Caenorhabditis elegans: one gene and its partners. The protein of the gene in region 3 interacts with the protein of the main gene of each other region in a pairwise test. Each region holds a gene or a part of one and is shown on either strand. Other genes may lie near its edges.

The links. Proteins that work in one complex are often made in the same cells at the same time.
Region 1: the proteins of madf-5 (region 3) and tbx-9 interact in a two-hybrid assay, tested with the Caenorhabditis elegans proteins (one large-scale study listed by BioGRID).
Region 2: the proteins of madf-5 (region 3) and gsk-3 interact in a two-hybrid assay, tested with the Caenorhabditis elegans proteins (one large-scale study listed by BioGRID).

The regions. Positions count from the first base shown.
Region 1 is NC_003281.10:10,339,506-10,343,691, forward strand, and holds tbx-9 (T-box transcription factor tbx-9), read right to left. Parts: upstream 2,354-4,186; 5' UTR 2,347-2,353; coding exon 2,054-2,346; intron 1,629-2,053; coding exon 1,553-1,628; intron 1,496-1,552; coding exon 1,343-1,495; intron 917-1,342; coding exon 560-916; 3' UTR 501-559; downstream 1-500. UniProt on the Caenorhabditis elegans protein: Transcription factor. Involved in the control of early morphogenesis of the intestine, hypodermis and body-wall muscle. Involved in regulating expression of vab-7. Appears to have partially redundant function to tbx-8.
Region 2 is NC_003279.8:12,817,644-12,825,215, reverse strand, and holds the start of gsk-3 (Glycogen synthase kinase-3), read right to left. Parts: upstream 6,001-7,572; 5' UTR 5,855-6,000; coding exon 5,762-5,854; intron 4,682-5,761; coding exon 4,413-4,681; intron 3,567-4,412; coding exon 2,990-3,566; intron 1,098-2,989; exon of another isoform or gene 1,044-1,097; intron 701-1,043; coding exon 551-700; 3' UTR 1-550.
Region 3 is NC_003280.10:14,572,043-14,577,068, reverse strand, and holds madf-5 (Alcohol dehydrogenase transcription factor myb/sant-like protein), read right to left. Parts: upstream 3,455-5,026; 5' UTR 3,424-3,454; coding exon 3,122-3,423; intron 2,853-3,121; exon of another isoform or gene 2,660-2,852; intron 2,582-2,659; coding exon 1,876-2,581; intron 1,262-1,875; coding exon 1,160-1,261; intron 1,106-1,159; coding exon 944-1,105; 3' UTR 508-943; downstream 1-507. Other genes in the region: C01G12.13 (uncharacterized protein), read right to left, coding at 22-112.

The DNA of each region.
Region 1 (4,186 bases), on a different chromosome or scaffold from region 3:
AAACTACAGTAATTCTTCAAAAGACTACTGTAGCGCTTGTGTCGATTTACGAGCTCGATTTTTGAAATGAATCAGACTAGAAGAAAAGGAGGAAAATATTGAACATCAATTGAACATCAATTCAAAAAGTCGAACCCTTGACTACAGTAGTCTTCTAAAGAATTACTGTAGTTTTCGCTACGAGATATTTTGCGCGTCAAATATGTTGCGCAATACGCATCCTCAGAATTGTGTGTTCTCGTAATGTCTTGAAAATTTTCCATTTCAACATCAAATAAGCAAATCTAAAAATGTGGGTTCTGCAGCGACCACTATGACTGTGATCGTGGCAAGACCCACTCAGAAAACTACGTGTTCCTTTAAACAATACATTTTTAAGTATTGTAGGTATAAAAATTGTTGGCTAGCAGTCTAGGCTGCCTTTTTCAGTCGACAAACTTCTAATTTAATCGGCGGGTCTTCAAAAAGTCGTTTCTTTGAAAATATAAAGCTTTATATATTTATATATTAAAAATTTTGATTACATGATATCAAAAGCGACCAGTTTGCATAAAAATTATCAACCAACAATATCAATATCTTCTTCTACCTCCTGATCCTCCTCCTTCACAATGCTCAGCTCACTGCTCGAGCTGGAAGGAGTCGACGGGAGAGGCGAGAGAAATGGAAAAGCGAATGGAAATTGGACTGGAAGATTTTCAGATAACATATGGGGAAAATAAAAAAGAAATGGGTTGATTGGAGGCATCGACTGAAGAGGTGCGACCTCCGGTGGTGATCTGGATTTTGGCGATGGGGACTGTGAGTTGCTGCCGTCGGAATATGATGGTGATCTTCTCTTGCGACTCAAGTTCCCGTCACGGAAACCTTTGGCAAAACTGTTGTGCTTGATTTTCAAGTCGGTGATTTTTTGGTTCTGAAATGAGGAAAAATTAGGTTTATTATTCAACTCTCTCTATCTTTGAAAACAAAGAATCTATTAAGAAATTGTTAAACACCATATTATGGATCACAAAGCGAGCAATATTTTTGTAGTTGACAACTTTTATATAGCTCTTTTTATTGGCGAGGTAGGAGTGCTTAAAGTAGCGCAGTTTCAAATTTATAAATAGAGCCAAATTTTGAGCAAGTGTAACTCTCCTTCTTTTAACTCTATTAAAAACTTGTCAACTAACTAATTAATCTTTACAACTAGGGTTACAAATTATTAGTTAACGACTTCTTGATAAGTATGATGGTTGACAAGACTTCCCCCTTCCTTCCCAGATTTCCCATTGTTCACAAAATATTGATTCTTCCGAGATAAGATCCATGCGCTAATACTCTTACTCTCAATACTAACCTGGTAAGCCGTTACTGCAATAAACTCGGTATGAGGGAATTTGGCGGTGGCGACGATTTGGTTTGAGGATTGTGGGACGCAGAAAGGGCTCTCCGATGGAGACTCGTAGATTGTCAGCACTGGAATGTACTTGTGCATGCTGTTGAGGTAAATCTGAAATTTCAATTTTAAATTGGAAATTGCCAAGTAATTTTAAAGTTGAAATCCTACCATTGAAGCGTTGTTGGACTCTGAATAGTTGGAGATTTTCACACGATCAAAGCAAATCGAACTCCACATCCAGTCACTGAAATTAATTGGGGTTACTTTGAAGATATAAATTTAGCAAATTTAGAATTATTTTCATCTGAATTATGTTGTCAGTTGACAAACGACAAACTTTGAAAACTTTAATGTTAGATGAGATGTAACCCTCAAAATATTCCAAAGGCATTTGAATGCCAGTGTCGGCAGCTCTAACTCTTCAATGGCTCAAGCTAGAAAAAAGTTGTCAACTGGCAAATTGTAGATGATAAATCAGTTAACAATTTTCCAGTTAACATCTTTTTTAAAACTTCCAAGCCCGCTGAGATATGGCGCTTTGAAGTTGTAATACCAGGGCGGAGCTAAAAAAAGTTGCCAATTGACAAAATGGTTCTCACTATTTTGATAATCATGTCAGTTTACAAATCTTCATAGCTTCTAATCTTCCAATTCCTATGTCACACTCACCTTCCCTTCCGAACTCCATCAGCATGCCACATCTTCTTCGCGTCGACCTGCTTCTCAGCTTTGCCCGTTTCCTGCCACTTTCCACCGCTGAACTTGAATCGACTTTCTCCAACTGGTTGTAATTGGAGCATTATTGCATACAGCTTGTTTTCATCAAGCCCTTCGACTATATATTCCAACTTTGGGAACAACTTTCGGCCGTTCTTCGTGACAATCATCTCGTTGACTTCTGCGTGGAATATCTTCCAGAGAGTTTCTTGGGATCCTTCGATTGATACTTTGACTTTGGACATTTTTTGTCTGAAAACGTTAAAATATATTATGAAAACGAACAGCAAAAAAAAAGTTGGAAAATGGTATAAGATATAATGTTATATTCTCACCGGTTTGGCAGCTACACTTGCTTAGAGTGTGGTACCAGTGAGAAGGAGGAGCGGGAAAACTATTCTAACTTAAAAACGGTGGTATCTAGCAAAAAGTTGTTAACTAACAAAGCAACAATGATAAAATTTGCAATATTTTGTTAGTTGACAACTATTTGGTATCTCTTGCCAGTTTTGAGATAACGTCTGAGATATCCCCGCCGTTCAAAAATAAGAAAACAAAAAAATAGAAAAATAAGAAACACGATAAGATAGAGATGTCATCACAAAAAAATGGTGATTTAAGACAAAGAAGTGAGAAATTGTGCACATCTTCACCCCATCTCACCTCATTGCCAAACCACACCCCTCTGCAAGGGCGGGCAGGTTGTGCGCGTGGCCCTCTCGGCTATCGATTCTGGGAAGACTTGGCGGCTGACTGGTAGATCAAAAGAGTTGGGTATACTTTCAAAACAAAATTGGGAGATCAAATTCTGATGTGGCATAGAAATAGAGAAGACGGTCCGAAAATGTTGGTTTTATGTAAACTTCAAAAAATGTTCAAAATTTAAAGATGATACAACTTCCTTATTAATTAAAGAATTATGCTATGTATACCATGCTTATCGACAGTATGGATTTTGTATATTTTTACTTTGAGATCACTTTTCTCAAGAAAGAATGACAGTAAAAATTAATGTAAACTGAATTTTTTTGTACCATATAAAAACCGAAATTTGAAAAAAATAACTTTATTTAATGTTTCAAAATAAAGATTTTACCATTTTACATTTTCATACCTTCCACAATTACCCATTATTCCATCTTCAAACCCTCCTTCTATTTCCAGATAATATACCATTTCCAAGTATACCCCTTTTTTGTCGGTTACCTCCAAAAGAGCATACGTTGTAAAATTTTTGAGCCGGTTAGTTGTAGTGGGCTCTTTTGATAGAACACCGACAGTATTGACTGGAGGTGTAAAAATTGGTAGCTGAAGGAAAATGGATAAAAGAAAACATTGGTTAACGGATCAAAATTATTTTGCATTTTTAGACATAAAGTGATATTAAAAATTCGAATTTCATAACGAATGTTCTAAAACATTGCTCAAAAATATTAGGAAAAACTCTCCAAATTTTGCAGATCCATTAAAATTTCTGAGCAATTTTTGAGCAAACCTTTTAAGTCTATAAGTCAGGATAATTTTGATATATTCGTCTTCCCAAAAGCTATCAAAAAGATGTCAACTTTCAAAAAAAAACTCAATTTTTTTCCGGGGTCTAACTTTTTTGTGGATGCAGCTATCAAAAATTTGTCAACTAACTGATTGTTCATAATTTCCAGAGCTATATTTTGTCAGTTGGCAACTATTCGGTAAACTCGAAGCTTTTCGAGATAATCGTTTCCCAAATTGTTATCTGAACCCAAATTTCTCCGACCCCATTAGCCCCATTTTCCTAGAAAATAAGACTGATCTCCAAAACACCAAAAAAAAAGCTGTAAAACTTTACTCTTCCCAAAACTCTCCGAGTCGGTGTTTTTACGGGGGGTACCTCTAAATCAGGTGGTCGATAAACATCGTGGCGGATTTATAACCTCCACAATTGTTAGTTGGCGTCAATGGATATACAGGTGATAAGGTTTACAATCACTGATTAGTTGTTCTGAATTTTTTTTTCCCAGGAACACAAAAATTGAGGTTTCCTGCTTTTAAAATGTTTTTAAAAACACTAAAACACTTGTTCAAAAAATTTAAAAATCACATTCC
Region 2 (7,572 bases), on a different chromosome or scaffold from region 3:
GTACAGAAGTCGCGGATTTTTTCAGGCCTTTGGGCCTAGATGAAGTCCTAAAAAATTGGGCCTCAAAAATTAGGCCAAAGGTTTAAAAAACCCAAAATTTTTGGCCTAAAACCCAATTTTCAGCCAAAATTTCAGGAACCTTGAAAACCTAATTTTTAGCCAAATTTTCACAGAAAAATCCAGGGGGGAGCCAGGTGGGGTAAAAAAAAAAGAGTAAAAATTCAAGTTTTTCGAGACAAAAAAGCTTGAGGGGACAATAAAATAAAATAAAAGAAGAGCAGCAGACAATCGAGTTGGGGGGAAATGCTTCTACAACACAGTTGCTATGGAGACGATACGGGCGATGGAGGGGGGTGGGGGGGGGAGGGCTCAAAAGAAAAAATAATAATTTTTTTCTTAATGATGATAGGTATGGAGAGAGAGAGAGACAGAGAGAGAGGAGAGGATGGATGTATAAAATCAATGGAAAAGAAAAATCCCACGGAAAATGAAAAAAAAAGAAACATTCGAGAGAAAATTCAGAACCAATATTAAAATAAAAAAAAGAAGTTTAAGCCGATGGGCCAGCCACATCACCGCTTGTCGTTGAAACTTCACCAGTTCCCATTGGACCGTCCATCTCAAGTGTTGGAAGAGGTCGACCAGATGGAAGACGTGCATCCGGGTTTCGGAGCTCATCAAAGAATGCGTGCTGGCAGGCCTGAAAAAGACGAAAAACATATATATATTGGTTGAATTGTTAAAGTAGCGTGAATTGGGGGCGATTTTGTCTCTCAAAAATTTCAAAATACAGTCTCAAATTCAGAAAAACGAGCAAAATCGATATTTTTGTCCATTGTGAGTTCCAAATTCCCCATGTTTGAATCCACGTGGAGTCAGAAAGTCCCATTTTGATTTGATCTACGAAAAATGCGGGAGATGAGACGCAAACATCTCAACTGATTTCACATGGTTAAAAGCGTGCAGACGTTACAATTTTTCTGGGAAAAAATTCCCGCATTTTTTGTAGATCAAAACGCAGACAATTCCCTCCAAAATGCAAACTCCCCAATCGATCAATCAACGACATCGAACTCCGCCCACTTCATCTGATTGGTTGAAAAGTGGGCAGGACGAATCGCTGATTGGTCGGGAAGTTCTCGTTTTGGAGGAAATTCAAAATGGAAATTTAAAATATACTAGTTAGTCACAATAGGGAAAATCGTGTTTTCGAAAGTTGAATTGTTCATTTTTCTCGATTTTGCTCGTTTTTTGTGGTTTTTCTAAATTTAAAAGTGTTTTCAAGCCAATTTTCTAATTTTCAACCATCATACCACGTAAATGTCTCCATCTTTAAAATTACGAGAACATCATAATTTTCTGGAAATCTCATTTGTAGTATGGCCTCTAATATTCTTGCAGTTGACATTTAGTTACTAGTTTCAAAAAATAAAAGTACGGATAAATTGTGAGCCGAGTTTTTTACTGCTCACTGCTTGTCAGCGAGTTCTATAAAAATTCCAAGAAACATTTCTTTCCAAGTTTTAGCTGAAATTTTGTTAAATTCAAGTTGAAATTTCAGTGGGATTTTCAATTTTTATGTCTATTTCAGATTTCACTAACTTTGAATTTATAGCTTTTTTTTCAAAATTAAAAACCACGGTTTCACAAGTTATCTTTTTCCAAAAATTGGAAAAAAAAGCCAAAATTCTGCAATTTTTTTTGTGTAAAAATCTAATGCTCCCATCTGCTTCCATAAATATCTTCCATATTCGTGCCAATTTGAGAAATCTAAGAAAAAAAACCGGGAAATGGCTTGATCTATGGGAGAATTACAATGAGGAAACAAAGATTTCAACGATAGATATTAAGGCGATTTTCAAAAGCAACCAACGAACGGGGTGGACTTTCTAAGCGGTTTTGTGAGGGGGCGATCGAATTTGTGAACAATGAAGATACTTTTTTTTGGAAAAATACAGATAAAATCATTGAATTTCGTTTCAAACTGGCTGCTTTTTTTTTGAGCGATCGAAAATCTGCAAAATCTGCAATTTTCAAAATGGAGGAAAAATAAGCTGACCGAATGGCCGAAATTTTTTAAATAAATTTTCAGTCAACTGTCTAATGTCTCAAAAATCACACTCAACTTTCTCTTTTTTTTTCATTCATATTACGGGAACCGAAAATTCTGAGAAGAATGCGTATTACACATCATAATTGACGCGCAAAATATCTCATTGCGAAAACTACAGTAACCCTTTAAATGGGTACTATAGCTCCGTGTGGCGATTTACGGGATTGATTTTCGATATGAATCTATTCTATATTTTCCTTCGTTTCTTCGTATTATTGTCTCATTTTTTGATTAATAAATGCAGAATAAAAATCGAGCCCGTAAATCGACACAAGCGCAGCGCTACAGTAGTCCTTTAAAAGGTTACTGTAGTTTTCGCTACGATATATTTTGCGCATCGAATATGTTTTTTTAAGGATTTTGTGTTCCATAATAACTTTTGTGAGCAAAAATTCGCATTTTTTGAGAATAAAATTACAGAACATTCGCTTTCAAAACCGAAAAACAAAAAAAAAGTCCATTTTTAGACAATTTCAATAATTTTTTGACACAATTTTAATATAAGTTTTGTTTTTCCATTTTCAAGTGTTTTTAAACGTTAAAAACTACCGGAAATCAGTTTTTGACATTTTTTGTGCAATTTTCGCCATTTTAATTATCTCGATAAAAAGTCGAAAAATTCAAACTTCCATTAATTTTTAGAGATTTTTCTCATAAAATTGTAAAATAGCCAAAATGATTAAAATTCCTGAATTTCGCAGTATTTTTTAAACTTTTGGGCAATTTTCTCAAGTTTTCAATGACAAAAAATCAATTTTTTTCAATTTAAAAGGTTTTTAGTTGAAAAAAGAGTCGATTTTCAGCAATTTAGTGTTGGGAAAACATTTTTAATTCATTTTTCGGCCTTTTTTCTACAAAAACCCCCAAAAAACTCACCGCTTGAGGTGTTGGCCGAGACGTCGGCGTATACTCGATAATCTTCGAAATGAGATCAATCGCTTCAGCAGGCGTGTGTACACGGAATACCTTATTCCATGGATGTGCCTTTATCTGTGGAAATTTGAATTCCTTGTAGTTCGGATTCATACTTTGAATTTGTTCACGAGTCGGTGTTCCAAGAACTTTAATAATTTCAACGAGTTGATCAACTCCAGAGTCACCAGGGAAAATTGGTTGGCCGAGAAGAAGCTCTGCCATTACAGTTCCAGCCGACCAAACGTCAATCGAGTTCGTGTAGTTTGTAGCGCCGAAAATGAGCTCCGGAGCACGATAATATCGCGAGCAAATGTACGAGACGTTTGGCTCATTGCGAACCAAATATTTGGCAGATCCAAAATCACAGAGCTTAAGCACTCCGCTTTCCGGGTCAATGAGCAAATTCTGAGGCTTAATGTCACGGTGACAGATTCCAATGCTATGAATGTAGGCCAATGAACGGAGAAGCTGATACATGTACAATTTGACATAAATCATTGGAATTTGTTGTCGCTGCTTCGAATAGTGCCGGGCAACTCTGCAAAAATTAAAAATTTCAAATAAATTTCGCAAAACATCAAGTTTTTTTGTTTAAAAATCGATTTTTCTAAATTTTTTCAATTTTTACATAATTTTTTCCATAAATTTTAGTCAAAAATTGTCAAAAAAAAATTTCTAGGTTTTCAACTTGAAAATTCAAAATTATAAAAAAATAGAATATTTTCAATTTTGTAAAGAATTTTGCAAAATTTCAAGTTTTTTTGTTTTAAAATCGTATTTTCTAAATTCCAAGCTATCAGCCATGTAGTTTGTAGCCTTTCTATACGTTTGGAACGCATTTTTGAACTTTTAAATAGCTTTTTACATAAATTTCAGGAGGAAATTCGTGAAATAGTGCATTTTAGTCAAAAATGTTGCAAAGAAATCTGCTTGAAATCGCCCTGTAGCGCTGGAATTCGGGAAAAATCAATTTTTATCTTAAAAAATCAAAATTTAGCGAAAAAATTCAATTTTCGAACCAAAATTTCACAAAATCGACGGAAAATCAAATTTCCATGAATTTTTGTCAGAAATTAACAAAAAAGGTTAAAAAAATCAGGCATTTTTTGATTATTTCCTTTAAAAATTTACATTAACATCATTTTTAAACAGTTTTTCACAAAAAAAAACATAAAAATTCAGCTTTTTATTGAATTTCTACTATTGTTTTTCAAAATTTTTAAAAATATCTTTAAAAAAGAAATTCGCAATTTTTATTTAAAAATTTCCAAAAAAATTTTTTTTTTCAATTTTTAAATAAGAAATTCTCTTTATTTTTGAACAAAAAAATTCCGCTAAAAACTGAAATTTTCCAGAAATTTTTAAAAATCCTAATAAAAATAACCTGTAGACAGTTTCAGGAACATATTCGAGAATCAAATTCAAGTAGAGTTCATCCTTCTTCTCGCCGCTCGAATAGAAAAAGTATTTGAGCTTCACGATATTTGGATGATTCAATTTTCGCATAATCTGTAGTTCACGATTCTTGAATCGTTTGTCCTGAAGAACTTTCTTGATTGCAACCATTTCATTTGTTGTAGAGAGTTTGGCAAGGAATACCACTCCGAATGATCCATTTCCAATCACTTTCTGATCGTAGTACGAGATTTCAACCTACAATACATTTTTTTTTAATTAAAATTTGAATTACAGTGTTTTTTTTCGTTTGGAGATTTTTTAATAATAATTTTTTCACATTTTATCAGCTAGTTTTCCAGCAAATTTCCTTTTTTTTTTTTTGAAGAAATTGATATTTTAAGTGCTTGAGTAAAATCGTGTACTCCACGAGGAAAAGGAGAACAATTTTGTCAACCTATTTATTACGTGTTTATCCACAGATGAGAAAAATCGCCATATCTGCCGCGCAAATGAACCCGCGGGAAGAGATAAAACTACTGTAGTTTTTAACCAATTTGTGTAGATTTACGAGCTATTGCGTCATCGTTGAATTTAATTTGCAGGCGTTTTTCTAATTTTTTTGTGTTTTCTTTTAAGATTTATTCAATAAATAGATAAATTTCAATATAAAAAAGAGTGAAACACGCCTGAAAATTAAAAATTGCGGCTCAAAATTAAATTCAACGATGACGCAATAGCTCGTAAATCTACACAAATTGGTTAAAAACTACAGTAGTTTTGTCTCTTCCCGCGGGTTCATTTGCGCGGCAGATATGGCGATTTTTCTTATCTGTGGATAAACACGTAATAACTCATTTATTGTGTTGTACTAAATATCGAAAAATATATTTGTATCACTTCCAAAGAGTTTTTTTTTGTGAAAATCCTCATTTTCATGCATTTCCACCAGAGGTGGGCGGATATTTTTTCGGATATTTTCTAATAATGAATTTATCAATAAGTATTGATGTAGTTATTCTGGAAGAAATGTATCCGAACAAAAGAGTAACTATTAAGCAATCGGATATTACGGATATTACGGATATCGGATAATGGACTTGCATATCGTTTATACAGAAAACTTGTAGAATTTTTTTAGGTTTTATCATATTAAAATGTTGCTTAATAGTTACTCTTTTGTTCGGATACATTTTTTCCAGAATAACTACATCAATACTTATTGATAAATTCATTATTAGAAAATATCCGAAAAAAATACCCGCCCACCTCTGATATCCAACTTCTTTTCATCCAAATTTCTCCGAGAAAATTAAAATTTCCTCACTCAAAACCAACCTGCTGATCAACACCATCCGTGGCGACTGACGCGACGACCATCGTCACTTGTTTTCCGCTTTTCAGCGAGCACGATAGTAACTGCTTATTCATCACACCACACTACTGATTGATTTGATTCTTGTGTGTGTGTGTGTATATATGAGCTCTGTCCAATAAATGAGAAGAGCCAGAGATTAGATGATGAGGATATGATGTGGTTTTTTGAGAGGGAAAACGGAGAGAATGAGGCTATTCACCTGAAAATAAAAAATAATAAAATATTTCATTTGGGCGTTGGGTTTGAAAAATACGAGGAAACGTATAAAAATGGGTGATATTTAAGGCAAATATGAGGTGAAATGGAGTAACATTTCAAAATTCGATAAACTTTTAGGAATTCCTAGCCAAAGTGGGAACAGGGGTGGGCGGCAAACGACTTTTTCTGGCAAATCGGTAAACCGGCCAATTTCCGACGAATCGGCAATTTGTCGAATTTGTAGGACTATTAAAGAGCTGTTAAATATGGATTTCGCCAAAAAACTTTACTGGAAATTAGACGATTTTTGGCATTTTCAGCCCATTTTTTTAGGATTCGCTTCAAAAAATCCAAAATAGTCGTAGGGGAGCTCTCATTTTGGAGGATATTCAAACTAGAATAGAATTTAGCCAAAAATTGAAAAAATCGAAGTTTTAAAAGTAGTATTTCTCAAAACTTCTAAAGTTTTTTCTAAAGCTTAATGTAATGTTATTAGCTCGAAAAAGTTGGCTAACTCACTGTAATAAAAGGGAAACGCCAAAACTGCCAAATTTTTAAATATAGAAATGAATTTTTTGAATTTTAAAATTAAAAAAAGGGAAGTAAAATCTAATCCGACACGTTTTAATGTACGTTTTTTTCAAAATAAATAAATACATATTCATTCGAAATTGAATTTTTCTAAATTTAGCGGCAATAAAAAATATATTTCTAGAAGAAACTATATTTTTGGTACTTATGGGTTTCGTTCCCCCCAAAATGATTTTTAATTATTCAACACTACCTTTTTAATTTTAATCCACACGTTATTGTTTATTTTAATACTGTTTTCATTTTTACAAGGCTTAGAAAATCATTTCCCTAAGCCTGGGAATGAAAAAAAAGTTCACGTATCAATTAGAAAATATGGAAATCATTTTGGGGGGAACGAAACCCATAAGTACCATATTTTTTGATTTGGAATTGATATAATTGCTATTTTCGTAAGTATTTCAAAATTCTGACTGAATCAAAATAAAATGCTTCAATTGCTCATCTTAAAATAGCATGTAAGCCCATTTTGCTACACAATTTCAAGAAATTTCACTAGCGCGATCGAAATAACCAGTTTAATAGGAAATTACTCATATTTTCAACGGAAAATGCTCAAAATCGCCAAAACTCACCGCTTCTCACTAACGATTGAACGAAAAATGACTAAATTTCGGTGTTGTTTTTTTTATTTTAAAAAACTAATCCAACACGTTTTAAAAATAAATAGAATTGCTTTTTATATAAATACAAAAATACATTTTATTTCAAAATTGATTTTTTCCAATTAAATTTCGTGGCAATAAAAAGGTACGTATTTTTTTAAAATGTTGTTCCTTGGGAAAAATCAAAAAAGATTTTGGCTAAACAGGATTCTATATTGATCGTAATAGGGAATATATAAATATATATACCGGAAAACTGGCAATTGTCGTTCGGAAAATTGTTTTCCGGGAAACTGCCGGTTTGCCAGTTTGCCGGAAATTTTCATGTTCGGCAAATTGCACAATGTCAATTTGCCGAACATCAATTTGCATATATG
Region 3 (5,026 bases):
GAAACATTAATCCTAACCTGCCCTCTTTCGGTTTCCCTTTCAGACAATTTGAGGTTATAGTCATGAAAAACATGATCGCGCAGATGACGTTGTAGAATAATAATTGATACATTGTGCAACTTTAATTGACCGGTTGGAAAGTTGAAACAAATTGTTGGAAATAATTCATTTTGCATGGAAGATGTTATCGGTTGAAATTGTGGAAGTTCACGTGAAGGAAATTTTTGGAAAAAATGTGGGAAAAATTACAAAATATATTTGATATGATAAAACTTCTGAAAAATGTCTGAAATATTTGGGCAAGAACTTCTGAAAAAAAAAAAAATTTTCGGAAGTTTTTTAAAAACTCCTTTAAAAAACTAGAGTTATCTAGCTGTTTCCAGAAAGGTCTAGCAAATAAAAATTCCTTCTTCTCCAAAAATTAACAATTTCAGGAAAATCTCCAAAATACACAGAACAATTCAGAATCCGCGAGTCGGAGGGAGCACGCGCTCTGTCCAAAACCAAAAAATACACGTTTATTATAAAAAAATCGTGGTACAAAAATATACAGGCAAGATGATGGTGTTTGTAGAGACTAATTTCAAAAAATAAAAAAAATGCTGAAATTATGGAGGGAACAAAAGAAAAGTGAAAGAATTGCGCACTGACTAGACCGACGGGGAGTGAGAATACACTAAAAACTAGTTTTTGAACATTTTTCGTTTTCTACATTTAATAAAATGAGGAGAGCACCAATAAGAAAACACAAAATAGATATTTTGAAAAATAAAGGAAGTGTTTTTTCAATGTTACAGTAGCCTACCAGAATTTAGGTCTCGACACGAAAATAAATTATGCGCCTTTTAAACCGATCAGGCATATTTTTGCATTTTAGCTTGAAGGCGCAAATCATTTTTTCGTGGGGGGGGGGACCCATATACTACAAACAAAAGACTAATTTTCAAGCCGTTGGAATTTCATTTGCCGTTGGCTCAACTGCGCAATCTTCATCGTGCTCTCCGGTTGGACTATGTGCTGATGGACTGCTACAAGAGTCATCATTGTCTACAATATGGTGGGTGTCATCGGTTTCGTCCAGTAGTGACATTATTTGGTGACGGACCTGAAAAAAGTTGGAGTCTGAACTTGTTGAATATATCTGAAAACAATCTCTCACCTTTTTCCGTTTTTTCGGGTCCATTTTCTTAAGCTTCAACCCAATTATCCGGCTGTACAATAAATCCTCATCATTGAGCCATTCAAGAGCAACCCGACCGACCTGGAAAAAAGTTATATTATTCTAGAAATTCTTTCTTAAAATTTCTAATGTAGGAACACGTTATAAATTTTTGAAATTTGCTGAGAAAAAATCCTAATTTTGGTAAGAAAATCCAGAAACTTCGATTTAAAAATCTCTTAAAACTTGAAATAAATATTTAAATTCGAAAAATTTTTTTTAACTAGAAACACTTAAAATGTTTCCGAATATATTTTTTTAATAAAAATTAAATTTTAATAATCTAGAAAGTAATTAAATGTAATTCAGAAAACCAAAAAAAAATTCTGAAAATTATACACTTCAACCTTCAAAAAATCATTCCGAAAAGTTCATTAAAAAATTTTTTAACTTTAACATTTTTTCTTGAAAATCACTAAATTTTCCGAAAAAAGGTAACATTAAAAAAAACAGAACTAAATCCGAAGTTTCCAAGAATTCAGCAAACTATTTTCAATCGCATCTAATATTTTTTACAAAAAATCTAGAATTTTTTTTTAATTTAAGAAAGTTTCAGAGAAATTATTTTAAAAAAATCAAAAATCTCCAAAAAATCCAGGAAAATCACGATCCTTCCGAAAAAAATTTTTTTTACCAAATGTTCCAAACCCGCTCACCTGTTGCAAATGATATCTCATAACATTATCCGCAGTCTGCTGCCTATGCCTATTCCTCGCCGCCTCTTTATAAGGATGGAAGTGGCTCGTAGTGGACGCGGTTGGCGGTGGTGTTGAAGGTCGGAGCGGCGGGATCGCTGCCTCCTCGGATTTCCTGGCTCCATTGAGCATTGAACTCATCCCAGTGAGCTGTGCAGCAAGATGGTGTGCAAATCTAGCCTGATTCGCTGCTATGAGGGACTCCACTGATGGTTTCTGTGGGGTCTGTTGGACCTGCTGGACCTGTTGAGCCTGCTGAGTCTGCTGTTGGCTCTGAGCACTTATAGCCTCCTTGAGCATCGCCATAGCTTCGGATTGACTTTTCACCTTTTCTGGGCCATCTTCCTCTACTTCATCTTCATCTTTTATTTTAAGATCTTCCTCCTCATCTCCATCCCCATCAACTCCATCTAGATTTCCATCGAGACTTTGAGTTCCAGATTCATCATTTTCAATTTCAGGGGATATACTGTCCAATCGTTGGGCGGTTTGTGCAAGTAGTCGGTCTAAAACCGAAGATTCGAGTGCTGGATCACTATCATCATCTTCCATCTCGTCTTTTATTGAATTTAAATTTGGAAAACCGAACCAGCTGAACGGTGTGCCTGATGGCTCATCAAAAGAGTCAGATTTACCAGTTTTTTTGCCTTCATCTGCTGCTTGACCACTGCAAAAAATAGACTTTGAAGATGAGAATTTTAACTTATAATCGCGGAGTTCTAAATTATTATTTTTTACTTTTCAGATTCTTTTTGATATATCTTGAATTAATTTTTTGTAGAAAATTTTAATTTTTTTTCAAAATATTAAATTTCGAATCGATCAGTTTTTTGTCGATAAATTGTTTTTTTTTTAATTTTTATAATTTTTAATTTAAGAAAAAAAAGAATTCTGGAATTTTAATTAAATGTTTTAGTATTTTTGAAGTTTTTTTTTGAATTTGATTTTATCTACAACTTTTGATTTTTTAATGAGATTTTTCAAATTTTTTTTTCTGAATTTTTGAAGTGTTAATTTAGACTCTTTAGATATATTTCAAATTAGGTGAACTTATTTTTTAAATTTCAGTTTTTTGTTTTGATATGCCTACAAACCAAAAATTTCGCGGTTTTTCAACAAAAAAATATTAGAAAAAATATTAAAAAATTAGCTTTGTGATGGCCAGAAAAAAACGAGTTGAAAAATAATTATGAAATTCAATTCTTACATATTATCCTTCAAAAACGGGTCCAACCACGATAATTGATTAAAATAACACCATCTAACAGGTGTCACAAATCCATTTTTAATTGCAATCTTTAATTCTTTCCGATATCGATCCCTCAGCTGCAACCATCGTTTCTTCGCAAACTCTGCCGCACAATTCGGGTCAATATTTTTGGCGATTGATTCCCAAAGTCGTTGACGTTCCATTGTGTCCCCGCTGCCACGTCGTGAATGATTATATAGGCACGGGTACTTACGAACCTCGTTTATCAGACGGGCGTTAAACGCCGGCTGGAAGGCCATCTGTTTGAGTGGATTTAAATTTAGAAGGGGTCTGAAACGGAAAAATTTGAGATTTTTAGAAAAAAAAGGCTAAGGGGAGTCAGAAGCTGGGATAATCTAGAAATGGAAAAAAGGAAATAAGACATAAGAATATATATATATATATACATATATCCGTTTTTTGTTTCAAATGTTGAATTATTTTTGAAAATTATTCTTTTAACTATTTTAATTTGGAGAAATGTAGAAAAAATTGTGTAATTAAAGGGAAATTTTAAAATATTCATATTAAAAAATTGTTAATTTTTGTTTAAAACATTTTCAAAAGATTAATATTTGCAAAACCCAATTTTAAAAAATCTTAAAATTTCTAAAATCAACACAAAAAAATATTTTTTGAATTTTCAGTTAATGTTTTTTAAATCAAAATTTTTCTGAAATATTTCTGATAACAAAATATTGAAAACTGGTACTTTTAAAAAAGAGAATTTCAAAAAAATTTAAATCAAAACATTAATTTTGTCGAATGCCGAATTGTTTTTCAAAATCATTTTCAGATTTAAAAATTTTCTGGAAACTTTAAATTGTGAGATTTTTTAATAATCTAGATTATAACTTTCTGAAATTGCAGAAGGTTACGTTTTAGTACTTTAAAACAAAAATCTTTTTAAAAAAATATTTTAATTTTTTTGTCAGAAATTTAAGTAAATTTTGGCAATCTGCCAAAAAAATCTCTGTAGATCATGCAGAGGAATCTAGACACAAAAAGCCAAAAAGCCTGAGTGTGTACTACGACATGGTTAGTCTTCCAAAATGTAATAAAAAGTTTACACACTCTTTCGTGTCATTTCTCTCTTCTTCAATTCCATCTAAATCTCATGATAAACTACCGTAAGACACAATTGAAATGGTTTAGACTGAAAATCTAGGAGAACCGGTAGTATGTGTGGGTGGAGATGGAGTAGAAGAAGAAGGGGAAGAAGCTCTATGTTTTTTCCGGTGCAGGAAAATTGGAAAATTGGGGGATATTCGGTTTTTTATTTTGCTTTTAGTTGAAGCTTTAAGCGGAATTGGGAATGAAAATTAGAGGGAAATTGGTTGACGAAAGTTGCACAAAGTTGATGAAAATTGGTGATAGTATAGCGAAAGTTAAAATAGACTGAAATTGAACAAAAGTCTGCCAAAGATCTACCACAAGTTTGAGAAAAACGCAACTTCTTGAAAAACACTGGTGAAAATTGATGAAATTTTGGCGAAGGTTGGTCGGAGTTCGTAAAAACCTTGCGGGGATTGCTGAAAGTCTAGAAAAAATTAACAGAAGTTGGCAAACGTTGCTCAAAATGTCGAAGATCTGATAACAGTTGCAGAAAATTGTCGTAGATTCAGAAGAAGTTGTTTCTTGCCGAAAGTCTAGCGACAGTTCGCGAAAGTTGTTTTTAAAAAATATTGAAAGTATAGAAACAATTCAAAAAAGTTGGTCAAAAATTGAGCAGCAGTTTGGAACTATTGCAATTGCTTTTTGAAAGTTGACAAATGTCTAACGAAGGTTGGCGAAAGTTGGCAAAACTTTAGCAAAATCTGATAAAAAGGTATGGATTGTTGTAAAAATAGATAATTCGGGAAA